Linked DNA regions of Oreochromis niloticus. The protein of the gene in region 2 interacts with the protein of the main gene of each other region in a pairwise test. Links are inferred from orthologs where the notes say so. Each region holds a gene or a part of one and is shown on either strand. Other genes may lie near its edges. The genes, in order: ribosyldihydronicotinamide dehydrogenase [quinone]-like and lrrc7.

Region 1 (10,303 bases), on a different chromosome or scaffold from region 2:
ACTGGGGTAAAATCTCTCAGGTTTCCCATTTTGTATGGAAACTGGTGGAAGAAACTCTTGAGATTAACCTAAACCTTCAGCCCAGTTTAAACACAAGAGGAATATATACCTCATATAATCATAATCATCTGAGTTTCACACACATCATTTTCCCATGGTGATTGTTGGCCAACTTGGCGAACCAATGATTTTCCTTACGCCCTGCAGTGTGGGAATCATTGGTATAAACTATACATAAGGACATAAAAGGTACACACACATACACACACAAACAGCCAAAATTCTTTGACCTTGAAGGAAAAACTATTGGTTGACAAAAAAGTAGCAGAAGAAAGATATAATTCTGAGTTTGTTAACCTTTATTTTGAATGTTGCTCATTTTTTATGATGCTTTCAAAGTATCTTCAAATGTTGGCTTGGCATTTATCTGTTCTCAGAAGTTAAATATTAGCTCAAGTCTCTGCTCCAGGTGAGGCTTGAACTCACAACCTCGGCATTGCTCAGCCCAATACTGTCATATAAGTACCGCGCGCTAACCGATTGCGCGACTAGAGCACATGTGCAAAGCCTTTATTCCTTTCTCAGTTCACTCAACTGATCTAAGGGGGAGGGGGGTCAGTCACTTATAGAACAAACGCTTTACACTCTATTATATTTCAACAAATCTCATGCTTGTAGTCTATGACTATATATAGGATTAATCGATAGATGCATTGTAACCGCAGTCTGGCGAAGAAGTAGTGGCTAGCAGGTCCAGCGGGCATGTGGTGTGGAGGTTAGCCGGACAACTCGGAGCCAGTCAGTTAAATCGAACAACAGACCTTTATTTGAACATAAGACCATACAAGCCAGGTCTCCACGTCTCTACTCTGTCTATACATACACGTGCGGGATCGGTAGTCGCCGGCGCCAGCCCGTTACAAGGTTTCTCTGAACAGCGACGCGAGCAGCATGTAACGGCCACCGCTATACTCCCACACCCACTAGGGGACTCCCCCAACTACTACAATAGTAGGGCACCCCCTTTAGTGGTGCTATAATACAATAAGGGTTGTTACAGCATCCATTAATATATGTGGGAAATCAGTCTTTTTTTCTATACATCTATGTTACAAATGTTTTTTTTTTTCAGTCAGTACACATTTGTTTCAGATCATTTCTGTTTCCCTTTTTTCATATTTCACTTTTATTCTTTAATTTTCGTAGTTTTGTGTATTTTACCTAATAGATATGGAACTAATGGATAAAGAATTGAACCATGTGGCAATAAAGACTCTGTATCCCTGTATTCTACCGCAATATCATGAACTTCCATTTAGCAAAACTAAATTAAATGAATGAAAACTGCAGTTTTCATGAAGTCTGTGTCTACTTCTTTTCATATAAATGTGCTTTGCCTCAAATAAAATTTGCCTCTCTGTTATACTATTTCCCAGTAATGTTTTAGAAGCAGTTAACTGTACTATTTGATCAACTTTCATGCATTTAAATTTGCTATTCTGACTTCCTTGGCTCCTACTTTTTAAAAAGTAGCTAAGTTAACGACATAAATGTTGATTAGCCTTCAGTACAGTTAGCTTGCTGCCACTGCAGGAAAAGCCCATCGTTTCAATACTTCTCAATGTTTTTAGACTATAAACTTTGACAGACTTAATTACAGTAGTGATGCCAATCTGGATCTCACTATATTTGGGGAGCAAATCCTTGCAGCGTACTTGCTAGCCATAACAATGATTGGTCAAATCCTGGTAGGTGCAGCGAGAGGTGATTGGCTTCTACAGTTCTTGGTAGTGGAGGAGCACATGATTGGATAACTCTTGAATTTGGTAGATAAGTAAAGCTATTGGCTCTCACATGATGGATTTGCTTGACTAACCGGTGGCAGGGAGCAGCTCAGAGGTTAGAACCATGAACTGACGTACTTAGGACATGTTTTCTATTGTGTTGCAAATGTTTTTATTTAACCAGTGCTCAGTAATATATGACTTACAGATGTTCAGCATTAGGTGTAACGCTTGACAATGCAACATGTTCCTGTAATGATCTTAGTTTGTGCAGTGATGAAGAAGTAGTAACACTGTTATACTAAATTAAATAAACAGTAGTGTCATTAGATCCTAAAGGTTTTTCAGTTATTTGCATGCCAGGTGAATAGAAATGCTGAAAAGCCTTCAGAACAAATATTGGAAAAGGAAAAACAAAATCTTTAAATATTACACATGCTTTACTCTTCCTGTGCACTCGCACCACAGTCAGCTGATTTAAGTTCATGTGTAGGAGGAGGAAAATCGTGGATGAGCCCACAGTGGCGATACACATTTTTACCTCACAAAAAGGCAATGGTAAAGAGTAAACTCCACTAGGACGGAAAGAACACATACTGCTAAAAGCGAGATCTTAAAGCTGCGTTCATGCCAAACCGAGCCAAAGCCTGTAGCATAGGCAGTGAGGAGCAATGAGGCTTGCAGTCACCTGATCTGCAGTAGCAGTCTGTTGTAAGTCTTTTTGGGCTTGCTTTCAACCTTTGTGTACGGTCGCCCCCCCCCCCCCCAAACACACGTTCTTATCAGAATAGGGATTTGCATTAGCATGTAGAACATAGCCTTCCCGCTGTGGCATATTTCTCTTTGACCTCAGGCTTCAGCAGGAAACCCTTCTCCTTGTCAAAGTAGTCCAAGGGAGCAAAGTACACAGGTACTTCCCCACCGAGGGTTTGCAGTCGTGTGCGCCAGCCCTCCAGCATGGACCTGCGAGATTCAGGAGAACCAGTAGCAGGATCCCAGAAGATCTGAGGGTCAAAAACCTGGAAGCCGCAGTAGTTCAGGATCCCGTTCTGCACACAGGGAGGAGCAGCTGTTACCACATGACAGATCATTTAATGCTTGGCTCTGTTTATAGTGAGACCTCACCTGCAGCGGCCACAGTGTGACATTGATGTCACCATTGATGCCAGTGTCACTGTACACAGATTCAGGACAGTCAGTGGTGAAGGACAGCATGGCTTTCTTGCCCTGCACAGAGAGCAAGGAGTGAGCAAAGAGGGAGAGGACACAGCCTGAACACACACACGTTGGTGGAGCTCTCACCTTGAAGAGCCCCTCACTGTACCGCTTCTCCTGTGCGTAGGCAAAGCCCAACACCCTATCCATCCACCCCTTCATGATTGCAGGAACAGATGACCAGTACATGGGGAACTGGGAACACAGGTTTAATGGTCATTTTTAATGTGGACACCTGTCAGCCGATCACAAAGACATTTCTAGTCAGACACTACCTGAAAGATGACAAGGTCTGCCTCCTTGAGCTTCTCCTGCTCTTTTTTGATGTCATCTGCAAGTCTGCCCTCCTCTGATGCCAGTTTGATCTCCTTTGCGTAGCAGAAGTTCTCAGCATTCTTCACTCCACCTGTGACAAAAATCCAGTCTTTGTATCTGAAGAACAATCAAAGCCAAAGCATTGCTATACCTGCAGGATATTTGTATACCAGTGATGTCCTCAGTAGTAGCAGCAGCTTTGAACTTCATGGCGTACAGGTCAGACACCTCTACAGTGCAGCCTTGAGCAGTCAGAGCTGCCACAGCAGCATCTTTGGCAGCAGCATTGAAAGAGGCAGGGCTCTCATGGGCATACACAATCAGCACCTTCTTGGCTGAAAAGCCAAAAAATAAATTAAAAAAAAAAAAATAATACAAGTTTTGATAAAGTTCCAGTCAGCACAGAAACCTTTCACTCTTCTTGTCAAAGATTATCAGCTTTGGCCAAACAAGTTTTAGCAATTACTAGGAAGAAAAATTCTTACCCATTCTCAAAACTGGTGCACAATAGTAAATTGTGAGTTTTCTGTCTAGCTGGTATAACAACAGAAAAATATGTCTATACTGGAGCAAAACACAGTCTGCTGCTTTTATACACACTTCAAGCACTACTTCACACAGGTGCTGTCAATCAGCAATAAACCTCATGAGTCAGCCAGCTGGTACTGGGGTAATTTCTCTCAGACCAGTTGGTGGCAGTAATGCACCATTTTGCTGTTTGCCAATCAATAAGTATCAATCAATACTTTATTTATATAGCACATTTAAAGACCAGAGGTACACCAAAGTGCTTCTCAGTAGTAAAATATGAAATAAAATTAATTACATATGGGTACTATAGTAGAGTAGAAATACATTTCCAGACAAAAAAAAGCACCACTTAACCCGTGAGTACTATGTTAAAAGAAATATTTCACACCTCGTGTAAAAGTTAGGTAAAATCAACACAGAAATATCAACTGGAAAAACCCACTAACACAATAGGTTAAAATTACAAAAAAATGCAATAAAAGTACAAAGTGTACATCCAATAAATCACTAACTAATCTAAAATGCAAGCTCAAATAAATAAGTTTTCAATCTTGTTTTAAAAGATTGAATAGATTCCGACGCGCGAATATCAGCTGGAAGACTGTTCCAGAGGTTAGGTGCAGCAATGGCAAAGGCACGATCACCTCTGGTTTTCAGCCGGGACCTAGGTTGCACCAAGAGCATTTGACTCGATGATCGAAGTGCTCTCCTATGAGTTTACAGGCTGAGAAGTTCAGTTAAATAGCAAGGCGCAATATTATTTACGATTTTGAATGAAAGCAATAAAATCTTAAAATCAATCCGATATTTCATGGGCAGCCAATGTAGGTCAGCAAGGATCGGGGTAATAGAATCAAACCTTCTAGTACCAGTTAAAAGGCGTGCCGCTGCATTTTGGACAAGTTGTAGTTTATGAAGAAGGGCAGATTGGAGGCCCAGATAAAGGGAGTTGCAGTAGTCTAATCTTGAAGTAATAAATGTATGTGTAAGTTTTTCAAGATCCATTCGTGGTATTTAATGCTTAGCCTTAGATATTTGTCGTAGTTGGTAAAAGCTAGACTGTACTACAGAAGACACTTGTTTAAAGGAGCTGTCCAAAAGCACACCTAAGTTACGTACTGTATCAAAGAGGGAGGTAGCGAAGGGCCCAAATATATCAGCTAATTGTCCCCGAGGGATGTGGCTATCAAAGACAATAATTTCTGTTTTCTTTTCATTTAGAAAAAGGGAGTTACTCGATAACCAGCCTTTGATCTCCCTCATACAATCAAGAAAACAGCGTAGTGAAGACGTGGTATCGTCAGTCAGACAAAAATAGATTTGAATACCATCAGCATAAAAATGAAAAGAAATGTTATATTTGTCAAATATAGACCAAAGGTAGCATGTACAATGAGAACAACACAGCCAACTGCCAATAAACCCTATAAAGAAGTAGAAGAAGAATTTCTCTCAGGTTTCTCATTTTGTATGGAAACTCTTGAGATTAACCTAAACCTTCAGCCCAGTTTAAACACAAGATTAATATATACCTCATCTAATCATAATCATCTCAGTTTCACAGACATCATTTTCCCATGGTGATTGTTGCCCAACTTGGCGAACCAATGACTTGCCTTACGCCCTGCAGTGTGGGAATCATTGGTATAAACTATACATAAGGACATAAAAGGTACACACACATACACACACAGCCAAATTTCTCTGACTTTGGAAGAATGTCCCTATCTCGATGGTTAACAGCTCCCATTGAAAATAAACAGAAACAAAACTAGCAGGACAAACATACAGAGGTATAATTCTGGTTTTCTTAATGTTTATTTTGCATGTTGCTCATTTTTAAAGAGACTAGAAAATTGTTTGGCATTTTTAGTGTGCTCAGTATTTATCTGGTCTTGGCAGATAAACATTAGCTCAAAGTTTGTGCTCCAGGTGAGGCTTGAACTCACAACCTCGGCATTGCTCAGCCCAATACTGTCATATAAGTACCGCGCGCTAACCGATTGCGCCACTGGAGCACATGCACACAGCATTTATTCCTTTCTCCCTTCATTCAATAGGTGTATGGGAAAAAATAATTTCAATACTTCTCAATGTTTTTATACTATAAACTTTAACAGACTTAATTACAGTATTGATGCCAATCAGGATCTACCTGTATTTGGGGAGCAAATCCTGGCGGCATTCTTGGTAGTCATAACAATGATTGGTCAAATCCTAGTAGGTGCAGTGGGAGATGATTGGCTTCTACAGTTCTTGGTAGTGGAGGAGCACATGATTGGCTAAATCTTGCTAGATTCTCATGTGATGGATTTGCAGGACTAACAGGTGGCAGGGAAAAGCTCAGAGGTTGGACACATGAACTGGTTTACTTCGGAAAACATTTTCTAGTCCTGCCACTGACATCTTCTCTCCTGAATGAATTGTGGTTATCTTTGAAAAAAAAGAAGTAAATACTTTTGATATCGGTTGCAGCTGCCTACATGATTTTCTTTGTCATGAGCATTTCTCATGAGGTAAAGAACAAACTAAAGAGGAGTCAACTCTCATTATGGTTTAAATAGCTGTGATTTTCCACCATTTGATTTAAAAACAGAAAAAGCCTCTCAGATGAGAGGTGAAACACCTTCATGAAAATTAAAGTATTTACTTTCCAAGCTCCTTAGTCAAACTAAAGAACTAAGTGTAAACTGGCATTTAATTTCTGTTTTCTCTTACTTTCCATATCCAAACAAACATCACTGGATCTAATGTTTTTAGGCTGACAGCTTGTAGGAATAACAGAGACAAAGGATGTGAGCTAAGGCTTATAAGCTATGTTAAGAGATTTTTTAGGATTTTGGGATTTTTATTATGTTATGCTTAAAAGTACGTTTCATTATCTAAATGTGTTTGCTCTTTTCAGTATTCAGCTTAAACTCTGCAACTCTGTGCAGACTCCTAAATGGGGAAGTTACACAGGAAGCCTGCAGTTCTATTTTCTCTCTTCCTGTATGTGCTCTCTGAATAAAGACTCTTTCTTTTTATTGCACAGTGCGAGTCTCCCTGAGCCTCGACCGTGTACACGTTAAACCTGTCTGAGCGTTTTATTCCGACCTGAGTTGCATAACAGGAAAACTCCTGACATTTCTTGGTCCTTCGAGCCGGATGGGACACAGCACTTTTGTGTGACCCCACAGGAAAACCTCATCGAGCCCTGACGTCGTGAGAAGCCCGCGCTGAAGTCTGTTGACAGCTCCTCTCTAGGTAGAGGATATAAAGTCCAGAGACGTGACATTCGGGTTCTGGCCAGCGTTCTTATAAGTGGTCCACGGCGGTGGGGGTCGATGAGGTAAACCTGAGAGACCGGCAGTGAATCAGCAACCAGGTGAATATTAACACTCAGACACCTCGCGTAAAACGTCTAGGCTCGGCTCGCCCAGAGGGGCTGGTAGCATTCCTAAAAGTAAACGCTCGCCTGAAAAAGGGGCTAGAAGCTATTTTAGATAAACCTGGTCCGTAAGACGTAGCACGCGTTGAAAAGGTATTGTTGTTGTTTTGTTTTTGTTGGTGGAATAAGTTGATTTGTTGATTTTACAGCACAATAAGGAGGCTGAACTATTCCACTGTTTTGTTTGCTGTTGGCCACCCAAGTACTGGTGAAAAGAGAGAAACAGGTCGTGTTGACACCGCTTTCAAGAATAGCTTGAAAGTAGAAGGCCGTGTCAACTACCTCTCTCGATTCTCGTGCCAGAGAAGGTGCCGCAGTTGTGTAGTTGTAAAGTATTAAAATTAAAAATAAGAGGATTAAAATGGGTAACTCACTGCTGACGAGCAGTGGTTAGAAAAGAAATGTCCAGGCGCCGGACAAATTAGTGCATATAGATGGAGAAATCCAAAGAAAACTAAATGTCCCACGTGGGAGGGAAAATGCATTAACTAAATTATAAGAAACCCTCCAAGCAGAAATAAATACTGAAAAGGAAGCTAAAAAGAAATCAAAGCATACACAAGAGTTGTAACATTTTAAAGCATGGAAAGTGGAATGAAGTGGAATAAACAAAAGGTTAAATTAAGGTTAACTTAAATTAAAGCAAAGCTTATCTAGTGATAAGCATGATAATAGGAGATAATAGGAAGGTTAACAACCTGTAAACTGGTATTAACAATGAAACAAAATTGGGAAGACAACCAAGCTGAATGAATAGAATGCGTGAAACCAGATAATTCACACAAAATATATCAAATAAAAAAGAGAGATTCAATTCAATTCAATTCAATTTTATTTATATAGCGCCAAATCACAACAAAAGTCGCCTCAAGGCGCTTTATATTGTACAGTAGATAGCACAATAATAAATACAGAGAAAAACCCAACAATCATATGACCCCCTATGAGCAAGCACTTTGGCGACAGTGGGAAGGAAAAACTCCCTTTTAACAGGAAGAAACCTCCGGCAGAACCAGGCTCAGGGAGGGGCGGCCATCTGCTGCGACCGGTTGGGGTATGCATAAGGTATATTAAGGCTGTGTCATTGTTCAGCCAAGGAAAATGTCTCCAGCTTGGGAAGGTGTGAAGCTGCAGATTCACACAGACCCGTGATGGATACATAATAAAATATAAACTAATATACTATTGTATATTAGTAGTAAAGTAGTGAAGTAGTGTATTGTAATATACTCTTGCTGTTATAAAAAAGGAAAAACAATACAATGATAATATTAATAATGATATACTATTAGTAGGAAGAGGCACCTCAGTCAGTTATGATATGAGGTGAATGATTGTTAAAAGTAGTCTGATTCAAGCTCAAGGTTTGCTCAAACTCAGTACAATGATGATATATGAGATGAAGAAAATAAGGAATTAACTACACTAATCAGGTGCATAGAGACACTTGACCTGCTTGTAAACCTGTCATCTTAGATGAGACTTTGTTAGGATGAAGAGCAAACCTATACTAACAACTAATGAGAAACTGAATTAAATATGTGGACACTACCAAGCTAATGAGGAGCGGTGACACGCATGGAGATGCTGGTTTTGCTCACTACAATCGTATAAATAGAGTTTGAATTCAGTACTGTGGATGTACAGTGAGTGACCTCTATATATCTTGAAAAGCATGTCTGAAATACTCGTATGAAAGCATATTTTGAGTGATTTTAACTGTGTAAATGCTGTGAGTAGTAGGTTTTGAGTGATTGGGTGTGATTTGTACAAAAAATAATAAAACATAAGTAATAATAACGCTACAAAGGTTCATAGTAGAGTGTGTGAACAAGTGGCAGTTTGAGAGAAAAAGGCAGTGTGTGTGATGATTCCTGATGTCTGAAAGAGCTCAATTTAAAAAGTGTGTGTGAAATAAAGGTGTGTTGGTTTTAGATCAAGATTTAGTAGAATTAAAGAGGGTTTATAGACTATGAATACAAAGAAAAACAAAAGAGTTCGATTAGTCTGCAGAAACAGGAAATATGTATAAATATATATGTGTGCCTGTGGTGTGTCAAGACAGCTCACAGAGAGAAACAGAACTCTATGAATAGACTCTATGAATAGACTCTATGAATAGAATGAATAGACAACACATACTCAAATTGTTATATGTGAAATTATTTCTGGAAAGGGTCAGAAGAGATAGTTTGAACTTAGAACTCAGTGATATGATGCATGAATTAAACCTTATGGCAATAAACACTTGCAATGAAGAATGCAGCTTACACTCAATTAATATGAACGCAAAGCCTTGATGCCATAGGCAATTTGTTTTTGTTTTTGTTTGTTTGTTTTGTAAGTTTGGAAAACAAATTTGTGATCATACTTGTGGATCACAGTGACACATAATGATTAGGCACATGATTTAACAATGACGAGTTTTAGAGCTGTGAGCTATGAGCTATAAGCAATGCAAAGTTTTTCCTAACTTAAAAGTTTGAAATATGTAAGATGTATGAATTCTTTGAGAAATAGGAATTGCCTAAAATGCCTTAAGTCAAAATGTAGTGTTGCATCTACAAAGAAGAAAGCGGAAGAAGCATTCAGTAACTTGGAGCTGGTTTCAGTGATGTTTTTGTAGACAGTTCAGCGTCTAAGAATAGCCTAGGCTATTGTAGGCTATGCAGTAACCACAGCAGATAGAGTTGTAGAAGCAAAACCGTTGACATCCTCACACACGCAGGCCAAGATATAAATATATACACTGACAGACAGTATGTTTTTTCAGCTGTGCAACACTTTGAGATCTTCTAAAGCCACTATTAGAAGTAATTATATTGCCAAAACAGTTAGCATTTTGTAAATGTGCTGCACACCAGAAAGGCTGCTCAGAGGTCATTAAAGGCAATAACTTTGCAGATCAAGCAGCAAAAGCAGCAGCACAACAAACTATACGCTCCCCAGAAAAGACAGTAAAACAAAGCCAGCAATTATTCTTCGGTTTGTGAGTCGCAAAACAAAGATTGAGTTACTGAAACAGGGA
Region 2 (10,575 bases):
GGCCCAAAATAACCCCTGTGGGCAAAATCAGCTGAATCCAAAGTGCCTGAAATAGGACCTGTGGGCAAAAATTGGCTCTCATAGACTGAGTTTGGCCCACCAAAGTGTTACACTGGGTGCAAAATGCAGCATCTCTCATTTATTTTCTTTAAAACTGACATTTCCTCTGAGTTATTTGAAAGCAAGCTTTCTGTAACCTTTCCAAATAACCCTTTGTGAAAACTTGGGTCTAAAATGACTTTTAAATGTTACAGTAAAAATATATATCCAGAGATGCCACTTCAGGTTTTTGACTGCAGTGTTTTATCTTTTACAGTTTTAAAACATTTTGTCTGCAACTGAAGGATGCTTTTCTTGTATTTGCAAACTACAGAGAAGTTCATGTACTCCCTTTTTTTTCTCCTGTTTTAGAAAGTCGGGCTGACATTAAGTAAAAATAAAAAACTGTTAAGAAGACGAATTATATAAAGGGATGCCTATAGGAAGGACTTCCTTGTATGAAGTATCTGACCTTAAGTGGTTTATTTATCCACCTTTTTTGGCTGGAGCTGCTTGACTAGCTTAGCCGCCAGTCTGTGACCATCTGGTAACCACCGGAAAAATGTGTATTCCCTGACTGGATGGTCAGCGTTTGCTGAAGGTTGCTGGCAGTCACTGTGAAACTGATTGCTAGAGCTCCATGCATCTACGCCCGGCGACTGCTCTAGTAACCCTAGTAACAGTGACCCAGGTTACTAGGGCCTCAGAGGTTGCTAGGGAAAAATGTGCGTTTTGAAATGTGTTGGTTTCCTCATCACCGAAGCAATCAAAAAGGACATTTCTGATGCATCTCTTTGGTGACTGATTTCACTTGGTTAAAGCCAGCAACTACTACCAAATGGTGGGGAATCCCAATTTTCCTCTAGTCACCGGAGGTTGCCAGAAGGCTGACAGCTGGTCTATAGGCCTATGTGACTGTGTGAGGTCTTAACTGGACGCTATATACATCCAAAAGTCTTGATAATGTCCTCTTTTATGATCCAGCATGCAGACTGTCAAGATCTACCCCCAGTTTGTGTGATTGATGTCATCCTTCCTCAGGTTTTTGTCTCAGTAGGCCAATTTGTTTTCTTGTGGCCACCATAAACTCAAACATCCTCAACAAGGTGCCACATACTTACTGGACATAGCCTCCTCTAACTTCTCTGTTTTACTGCACATTATTATTCTTCACAGCAACATGGAAGGAAGTCCCTTTGTGTTAAAACAGAGGGACAGATGTGAGGTCAAAGAGATACTTGATACCCAGCTGATGGGCACCCGCCTTGAACAACTTTGGGTGGTTTTAAAACACTTCTCACCTTGTTTTGTAGAGATGGTCAGCACAGTACATTTAAGATATTATTGCCATCTGGCAGCTAAGCAGTATGATCTTGATGTTCCTATTGACAGCTGGACTTGTAAGCAGTGATCTTCACTCCTCTCCAGCGCTCCCATTCTCTATGAAGAAATGGAGCTTGTGTCTCCATCTTACCAATCTCTTTTGTCTGGAGCAAGTATTAACGTCATTTTTTTAAAAGGGAAAAAACCCAAATCATTTCCAGGATGGAACAGCTCACAATGATCACAAGCAATAACTGAAAAAAAGAAATAAAAAAGAAACACGCAGATGAAATAAATGGAAAAATATGAAAATGAATAGAAGCAACTGCAGCAGGCTGCACATACTGTACAGTTAGTGCATGTACACATTTTGTATTATCCATTTTTCATCTGGAGCTTTTTTAGTTTGCTTTGTTCATTTGCTTTTGTAATTGGCTATGTATCCACACCTGATTTTGTTTATAGAGTAGAGAAATTTGAGAGTTGTTATATCATTTTATAGATGTAGAAATTTAAAATGAAACCGTACCCAGTAAGGTCTGATTGATTGCCTCCATTTCTGTTTTTATTATATTTGTCCAATCTATTTGAACTGTTATCAATTTCAGATTATGCAGTGATTCAGATGTGACCCCAGATGTGGTTCCAGATGTGGAACAAGGCTATTAGAGGAGCACTTGTAGTAGTGATGCATTTAGGTTCTGACAGTCAATAGGCCCAAAACTGACTGTTGCTTATCTCTGTGTTTTAAAGGCAATGGTTATTATAACACAACACACTGTATATCTCATGCAACAATTGTGGGACATGCAACAAGCAGTCATGCAACAAGACTGCTGACTTGACAGTTGCCATGACAATCTTTAACACCCTCCTCCCTTCTGAGAGTAAGCCACAGGAGGTCATTCCTGCAAAGGCTGGCTGTTTGCAGAGTGCTGTATGGAAGCATATTGTTGGAATGTTGATGGGAACAACGTCCTGGTAGTAACAGGTGTTCAAGCAACAAAGATAACCAAAGCTTTGAGAGTATTGTCAAGGAAAGTTGACTGAAGAACTTGGGAGAGCTTCAGAAGGAGTGGACTGAGGCCTGGGGGGCCACAACAAACATAGGGCTTCAGGAAAGGTGCTACTGTACAACTGTCAGATTCCTGATATCAAGCCAGGCCTGAGTCACAGACACCGTCAGAAGCATTTATCTGGGAAAAAGCACAAGAACAGGATTTTTACTCAGTGGTTCAAAGTCCTTTGTTCACATAAAACTAAATTTTGTATTTCACTTGGAAATTGAAAATGGGAAACTTCATTGGAAATGAATGTCTAAGAGTACAGACCAAGCGTGGAGAGGCCGGTGTGAAGGTTCGGGGGCCTGTGATGTTTTGGGGTTCTGGTTTTGGTTGTGGTTGGTCCAAAGCTACCCAGCTACTGGGAGATTTTAGTGCACTTCATGCTTCCATCTGCTGACAAAACTTTATGGAGGTGACGATTTTGCTTTTCCAGCAGGCCGTAACACCTCCCCACAGCACCAACATTACGACCAAAGGGTTTGCTGACCATGATATTACTATCAGCAGACAGATATTGCCCTCGAGTGACCTCAACCTAAAAAAAATGAGTTGAAGGTGGCTATCAAAGCAGCCTGGGCTTAAATAACACCTCCGCATTGCCACAAAAGGATCACCTCTATGCCACCATGCACTGATATAGTAATTCATGGTAAAGTACTGCGTTTATAAACAAAAGTACTTTTCTTTTGTATGTGTGTGACTTTCATGAGCTATAAGCCATAACCATCAAAAGGAAACATAGCAAATATTTTGCCATATTTCACTTGTAAGGAGTATATTATACATCAAAGTTTACCTTGTTGTATTAAATAATGCAGAATAAAAATAACATTTTCACATTATTTTTATTTCTTCAGCTGCACGAGTACATATTCAGTGCTTTGAGTCTCAAAAGAGGAGCTGCTCACCATCCCTTCAGCAGTAGACTGTACTGTGTTTTTAAAATGTTTTTCCATTTGTGCTGTCATCCGTGTTCTAAAAGTAGACTTCTTTATTGTAGGATGTCCTCTTTTGAAAACAAAATTATCTAAAAAGCCTCTATATTTGGTGTCTGTTGTTGCCAGGCAACAAAAGACCCTGAACATTTTAAGCTATTTAACCAAATACTTAAAGGACTGACATGGAGTTAAAGTGGATGTGTAATGGGAAGGGAAAAAAGAAGGGCTAGAGAGAGGAAGATGACTAGCTGAGTGACAGGGTGACGGGCTGGCCGGCTTCCTGGTTTCTCGCAGACTGTTGTCAAACTCAGTCGATCTTGGAGAATCCCAGTGCTGCCATCTGGGTTTAACGGGAGCTTCATCCTGGCACTGCCTACTGGTACAGATGGCATAAGGATACTATGTCACTGTTACAGTAGACTTGAGTACAATAGAATGGAGCAGAGCTGCAAAGTCACAGGTCGGTTTAAGTCTTCAAGATTTACTGTATCTATATCTAATTTTTCCAGGGGCCAACATAATTACTCTAATTGTACTACTCCAGTGGTACTTGTTATCATGTTGTCATGACCTCCCACACAAGCAGTCCAGACCTGCAATGTAATTTATTTTACACAGTGTTTAAATTGATCGAAAACACATCCTGACTGTCGCTGATGTTTTGGAAAGAAGCTCCTAGCATTCGGATGATTGGGAAGAAGTATACTGAACTGCTATTAAAACATTCTAACACCCAATATCTAATCTTATTTATTTTACACCATTAAAATGGGTCTAATCTGTTGTATTTGATTATTGAATCCTATTTTATTCATGGATTTGACTTCCAGTAGGGCAGATCTGCAGGTATGAGTGCTCTTCTGCAGTAACATACATACCTCACTCACACAGCTGCACACCTAAAGCTGCCTACTGCAAATGCACTGTGTGATGCTGGTCTCTGAGCAGCCCCGCTGATGCTGTTGAGGGCAATAGAAATAAGGCAGGGACAGCTGCTGTCACCGTCCTTAGGCTAATTTGTCCTGATGTTCCTGTCACAGTCCTGCTTTTCAGATCTCAAACCAGTGCCTCGCTGTGTGGAATGATTTGCAGAGATGTAAAGTCCTGATTTAATCTGGGATTTTGGAAAATGACGATGCTCATCTTTGCTAAGCCGCATGAAACGTGCAGCTGAGGTGTAAAACTGCAGGCAACAGATTACACTTCAGAGTGAAACTCTGAGCTGAGACACAGGCGTACGTACAGGAAGTTTAGCTATTACTTCACTGCCAACCTGTTTGCACTTGTGTTGCCAAGACTGAAGAAAGTGGGCCTTTCTGTAAAGTGGATTTAAGCTCTGCTGAGTGATATTGAAATAAACAAATAGTATTGAATTGGCTCGTGCTGCCTGTGAATGAACTGATTAGACTTAGAAGCCTCAAAACAGCAGCCGACTCAGATGACTACTGAATGTAAGCAGCAGTTTGCACCACACTGAGCTCTGGGTAAGGCTGCTCACTTAGCATCCATCATGTCCTCCACAATGCCAGCAGGGTCCCCGGCTGCTTCCACCACTGCATCACATGTGTGGCTAGTCTTTGATGTTTGTGTGTCTTGTGTCGTGCCACTAAAGGCCAGTGAGTGTGGAGTCATCATTACCAACAGTTGTGCTGTGAAATTAAATAACGAGCAAGCAAGACTAGGTTAAGATTCAATGACAACGTGGCACCTTTGCCTTTCACAGTCAGATTTCACTTTGGATGCTAAAATTATGTTCAGGAGGAGGAGGGACACATTTATCACAGAGGCCAAAGATTTGTGTGTTTTTAGCAGGGTGGGGTCAGATACTGATAATCCTGGTGACTTGTCATATGTAATTTAAAGAAAAAGAGATGCTTGTTTGGAATGCAAATAGTTGCAGTATAACGCACAGCAGATAGCAAGTCATTTATAAATATAAGGACTGATGGATTACTACAGTCTGTTCATATTAACTTCACTAAAGGGCTTAATTGGTTTATCATTCTCTAATATGCCATCAAATCCAGTTATAAATACTACAAGTTGGTGATTGGTGGATTTTAGTCCAGGCTTATTTGGAGGACCTTTATAATTAAGTTAATAAGAATTTTTTTAACAACGTGGCAACTCATAATTGGTTCAAAATGACTTGTAGCGGAACTATAGGGTTAAAAGATAATTTATTAATAGTTAATAAGACATTATTACATCATATCATCCGTTAACAGACATTGCCTTATAAGAGCGTGGCGTTTGTTTAAAATAAACCTTTTCATTGAATATTATCTCTAATCGAAACCGGGCTATTTTTGCTCACTAAAGTAGAAAAAAAATCTCATAGGAAAAGATGGAGGCAGCATGGCAACAGTCTCAGAGACAAGCTCGACTTCACGTGCACGCGCACCTGCACAATGAGATAAAAGACGACTTCTCCTCCTTGCTCTCACAAACTCTCACCCGTGCGCGATTACCGCACACAGGCGCGCACATCCACGCGTCCTCGTTCCATCTTCATCTATCTTTCCTCCCCCCCTCTCTCTTTCTCTCTCTCTCTACGAGGGACGTATGGGAGGGGACGCTCGTGCTGAATGTGTTTTTTCTGCAGCGTGCTTTACGGTACCGGAGAAGAAGAAGGAGAAGCACGCCGCTCCCCTCCGTTGGTCACGGAATCGTTTGGTATTGTGACATTGCGCGCCTGCTTCTTATTTTCTAAATGGACCGAAGGGGATGTGACTGAAAGCAGTGTGTAGTCTGCGCGCGTGTAACCGACTTGGATTTAAACCTGACCCTGAGATGAATCACACTGCCCCGGTTGATGCGCTCATCTCCTCCGTCTTCTGGCTTCGGGGGCACTAAAAATGCGGCTGATAGCGCGGGTACCTGTCCTGGTTTCACACCGGTTCGGTTTGTCCCGATAGACTGATCTCGTCCGGTGCTGCGGTTTCCAAAGGGGCGAGCTGAGTGATTTTTTTTTCTTTCTTAACCGGATCCGTCACCAGTAGCCTGCCAGATGGATAACTACTCTACTTTACAACGTAAGGCGACAGTGAAAGACACATACCTGCTGCCGTAGCCCATTTCATGTTAAGTCTGTGCTAATGATGGAGTTCCCTAAATGAATAACCACATTAATCTGGGGATAGGAAAGACTGCAGCTGAAGTCTGATCTCACTGGATAAAAAAAAAGAAAAAAGAAATAACTTAAATAAATATTAAAATATCCTGTAAATGTCCACAGGAGGGACATTTGATGGTTTTCCCTCATGTTTTGTCATGACCATACATTTATCTTGGGCTGACATCACGTGACAACTTGAATGGCATTTTTCAGAATTTGGTGAGCTTTGCTACTGAGCATCTGAACAGCGGCACTGTACACCGTATTTAATAATTTGGCGCTTAAATGTAGGCACAAATTAAGCCCCTTCATCTTTTCATAGACACCCCCCACCCAGGGCCTTTGAAGCTCCGAGATGAGCTAATGAAACAACCATGACTGCAGGATCAGGGAGAGGTGGGGGTGTGTGGGGGGGATAACATATGATGCAGTGTCACATACCCTCTTGTCTTGACATGTAGCCCCCGGCCCTGCTGCCATTATAACGTCATGCTTTCATATAATGCACCACATTCACACCTGTTAAATCCACCACCTTGAGGTATGCTGTGCTTATTAGACTATCTGCACCATTATTTAGCTGTATCGGTTTGTCATGCTTGTTATGAGCCTGTAATGACAAAGGCTTATTAACCATCTGCCTAAATGGTTTATGGCTGCAGTTATGCACCTGTAGAAGGTTATGGCTTTTTATTAACTGGATCATAATTTTTACAGATACAAGCTCTAATTTGTTGTCCATGTCTCTTCTGTGTGTGTATGTATGTGACTTACAGGGCTGTAAACCAACAAAAAGGGCCCTTTTTCCCTTTTAAAATCAAAGAGAATATTTAATTCCAATCTCAACTGCATCATATTTTAAAGCTCCTCTGTCTTTGTTGCTCCTAAGATGGTTCTATTTATACACTCTTTTTCGACAGGGCTTTGAAGTCGCTGCTCAGTTTGGTGTCATTTTGCAAAAAAAGACTATTATGTGTTCAGCGCTGGTTTCTTTCTTTGGGCACACTGATCACAACAGCTTATATGCTGCATGTGTAATTCTCCAGACATGGAGAGTGATCTGCCACATCTTCAGGATACATGAGATATAGAATACCATGTAGATTTTTTTAAGGACTATAAAGTGATTTTTGAGAGATTGCCTGGTAGAAATGTGTACCAGTAATGGAATCTAATCAAGTACTTTATAGCCATGGATTGTATTTAACACCTGTATGTTGAAGATTACTTTTCAAACAAAACGTTCACTGAGACTTTTGAACACAAACCACTGGACTGATCAATAATTTTCAAGGGAACAATTCACAGGACTCAGTTACTGACAGATGGTTGTAAAACTGATATTTTTTTTCAAATAATAACAAAAAACTGACCTTGCAAACACTTCATAAAGTAGTTCACATCAGTTGATCTGTTATAATAAAACTCACACATTGATGAATCTCTGGTAATCACGTGTATAACCCCTTTTTGCATTTGAATCTTTGCTTTAAGTGCACATTGCTGCTCACACATTTCCTAAATTATCTCATGAATAGATAACAGAACACTTAGAGCAGTTTTCACTGTTTCCCTCTTTGTGGAATTTGTTTTCTCCTTTGAATGATGATCTGCCAGCTGTTAGCAACAGCTAGATTAGTCCAGTATTTAGCAGCTGCGACAGCTTGGTCGATATTGTTTTTACCTTGTGAGTCTGCATCTGTATGTTCGTGTCTTATCACACGAAAATATGGTCCTGGCTACATCTACCATAACAGGAACTACCATTTTGAGTACTTCTGCAGGTGTTTATGTGCCTATCTGTGGACAGGGTTTTTCAAGAATTGGTGTCATAACCCTGCAAGATGCCGTCGTGATAGTTTACAAGTAAGCAGCAGCCATGAAAATCAAGTTCAAAGATGGTTTTAGTTTGACCCGTGGGTAATGATTATTTTAAGAATGCACGGTGTGATGCCAATGCAAGATGGTCAATAGTCAGCAGCTTAATCAGTGGATCTTTTGATTATGGCTTGGTTCTTTAGAGTAATATTTTCAAGTAAACGGGCCAAACATTATCAAATTCCACCTTCTCAGTGTGAGAATGTGCTGCTTTTCATCATCTTATGGAAACAGCTTTTTGGTTTTTAGACTATTGCTTAGGCAAATCTGTGTTTTTATGGCTGTCTGTTACAGCTGAGCCAAAGAATAATCTGTCAGTTGTCGTAATAAATAGCCATCTCATTTATACTGAAAACCCTAATTATTTATTAATGTACTTTATGGTTGGTACTTAATCCCTTGTCTTTGGCATTTGGTGGTTCCCGTTTCTGAGAAATTCTAAAGACAGAAGGTTTTTACATCTGAGCACTTAGTGGTGGTGGAAGTAATAATATTCAGGTAACTGCAATCTTGTCATCATCAGTTTTCCGTATTACTTACATTTAAACCCATCTATAGATGTACTCATTTTGTCAGTCTAAATTAAGCATGCCTAGTACCGAGGCCTCAGATCTAAGAAATGATAAATGCATTAACATTTCCTCTTCAAAGAGCAAACTTGCATACAGATAAAGAAGGATGAGGGGCTCAGTCTTCTACTGCTGCTCCACTTTAGCTCTGACAGGACACTGCTGTTCCTTGCTGCTGCTGCTGCTGCTGATGATGCTGCTGGTTGCCTAGTGACTGTATCCATGGAACCGGCTCCCATCGTCATGGTGATGGGCCAAGGGAGAGAGACCCAGTGAGGGAAGGGGGACAGAGATACCAGTACATCTGCAGTCTGTGCTACGACGATGAGGATGAATTGTGATATCATGAAGGATGATGATGATGAAGACTGTAATGCTCTGATTGCGATATACTGGTGTTTTCAGATGTAGTGATACCACTGAAAAGCATGGAGAGGCTAGTTTAAAGCAGAGAAAATGGTCACGTGGTTGCCAAAATATGAATGATATGTCAAGGCAGTGGCTAAATGTAAAAGCCGTACTGCTATCCATGGATGGTTGGATCGATGGGTAGATGGTCTATAATAGAGTTGCAATAATTATCAGAGCTTAATTAGCAAGATTAACCTCGAACTATATTCTTAATATATTTATTAAGGTAATTTCATAAACAATCATATTATGGCTAGCTGGCTGAGCACATGTTTGCTAGTATTGTTGAAAGGAAATCTTTGTTGTACATTTTTACTTTGTTCCATTAAATTATTTACAGGCGGCTAAAGCATTACTGTTTGATATAGATCTAACAGTATCATTGTATTACAATATACATTGGGTGGTGGAGGATATTTGCCAAGATAGCCATTGAAATGAGATATAATTTTTCTAGTGCTAAGATTAGCAAGCAAGATACAAGCAAGATAGCAGGTTCATCTATCTAGCTGCAACTTAACTACACAGCACAAATCCACTGTTATCCACTTAAGACTTTATTTTGCTTTGTAAGGTAGTTTCCAGTTCATCTGTGTTAGCAGTGATGCTAGCATTAGCTAATATTAGCTAGAAGATAAAATATCTTCTAAAAACAAAGCAATACCACCATGTATCTAATGCCCTGCTTATGTCAGCCGCAGCTTTACCTGATAGCCAACTTCCTGAAGCTCAGAGAGGCTTTGTTAGATAAAACTGGCTACCCTTCTGAGTTATGTTAGTTAACTTTGGCCTAGCTGCTAAGGTGGCTAATGGAGCCAATCGATTTATTGGCAGGTCGATACCATCTGATTAATTATTTGCTGATCTATGTGTATGAATTAATAACGGTCAAAAAGTGAAAAAAGGGCACTCTAGAACTTCCCTGTTGGCAACATGTATTTGGAATGCCACAAACAGGACAACCAGCTGATCCAAACAGCCCGACCGAGTGTAAACAAGAAAATAAAGAACTCCATATAACAAATGTCAGGGAAATGCTTACGTTTTGTGTGTCCGAAACAAAACATATACAGAAATACCAGAGTTTTAAATCACCAAATATCAGACTGTATCAGTATCGGCCTTAAAAATCCTAAATCGGTCAGGCTCTAGCAGATAATTTGCTTGATACCTATAGCCAGTATACAAGATACATTCTGTGTCTGAAAAGTGAAGCCAGCTTAGACGAGACTTAC

Evidence for each region.
Region 1: the proteins of lrrc7 (region 2) and ribosyldihydronicotinamide dehydrogenase [quinone]-like interact in a two-hybrid assay, tested with the Homo sapiens proteins (2 studies listed by BioGRID). The two-hybrid records come from large-scale screens. The link is inferred for Oreochromis niloticus from reciprocal best matches to the Homo sapiens genes LRRC7 and NQO2.

The regions. Positions count from the first base shown.
Region 1 is NC_031973.2:10,523,408-10,533,710, forward strand, and holds ribosyldihydronicotinamide dehydrogenase [quinone]-like, read right to left. Parts: upstream 3,953-10,303; 5' UTR 3,804-3,952; coding exon 3,800-3,803; intron 3,650-3,799; coding exon 3,485-3,649; intron 3,406-3,484; coding exon 3,275-3,405; intron 3,195-3,274; coding exon 3,087-3,194; intron 3,012-3,086; coding exon 2,910-3,011; intron 2,834-2,909; coding exon 2,585-2,833; 3' UTR 1,933-2,584; downstream 1-1,932. UniProt on the Homo sapiens protein: The enzyme apparently serves as a quinone reductase in connection with conjugation reactions of hydroquinones involved in detoxification pathways as well as in biosynthetic processes such as the vitamin K-dependent gamma-carboxylation of glutamate residues in prothrombin synthesis.
Region 2 is NC_031981.2:32,125,430-32,136,004, reverse strand, and holds the start of lrrc7 (leucine-rich repeat-containing protein 7), read left to right. Parts: upstream 1-5,819; 5' UTR 5,820-6,374; coding exon 6,375-6,399; intron 6,400-10,575.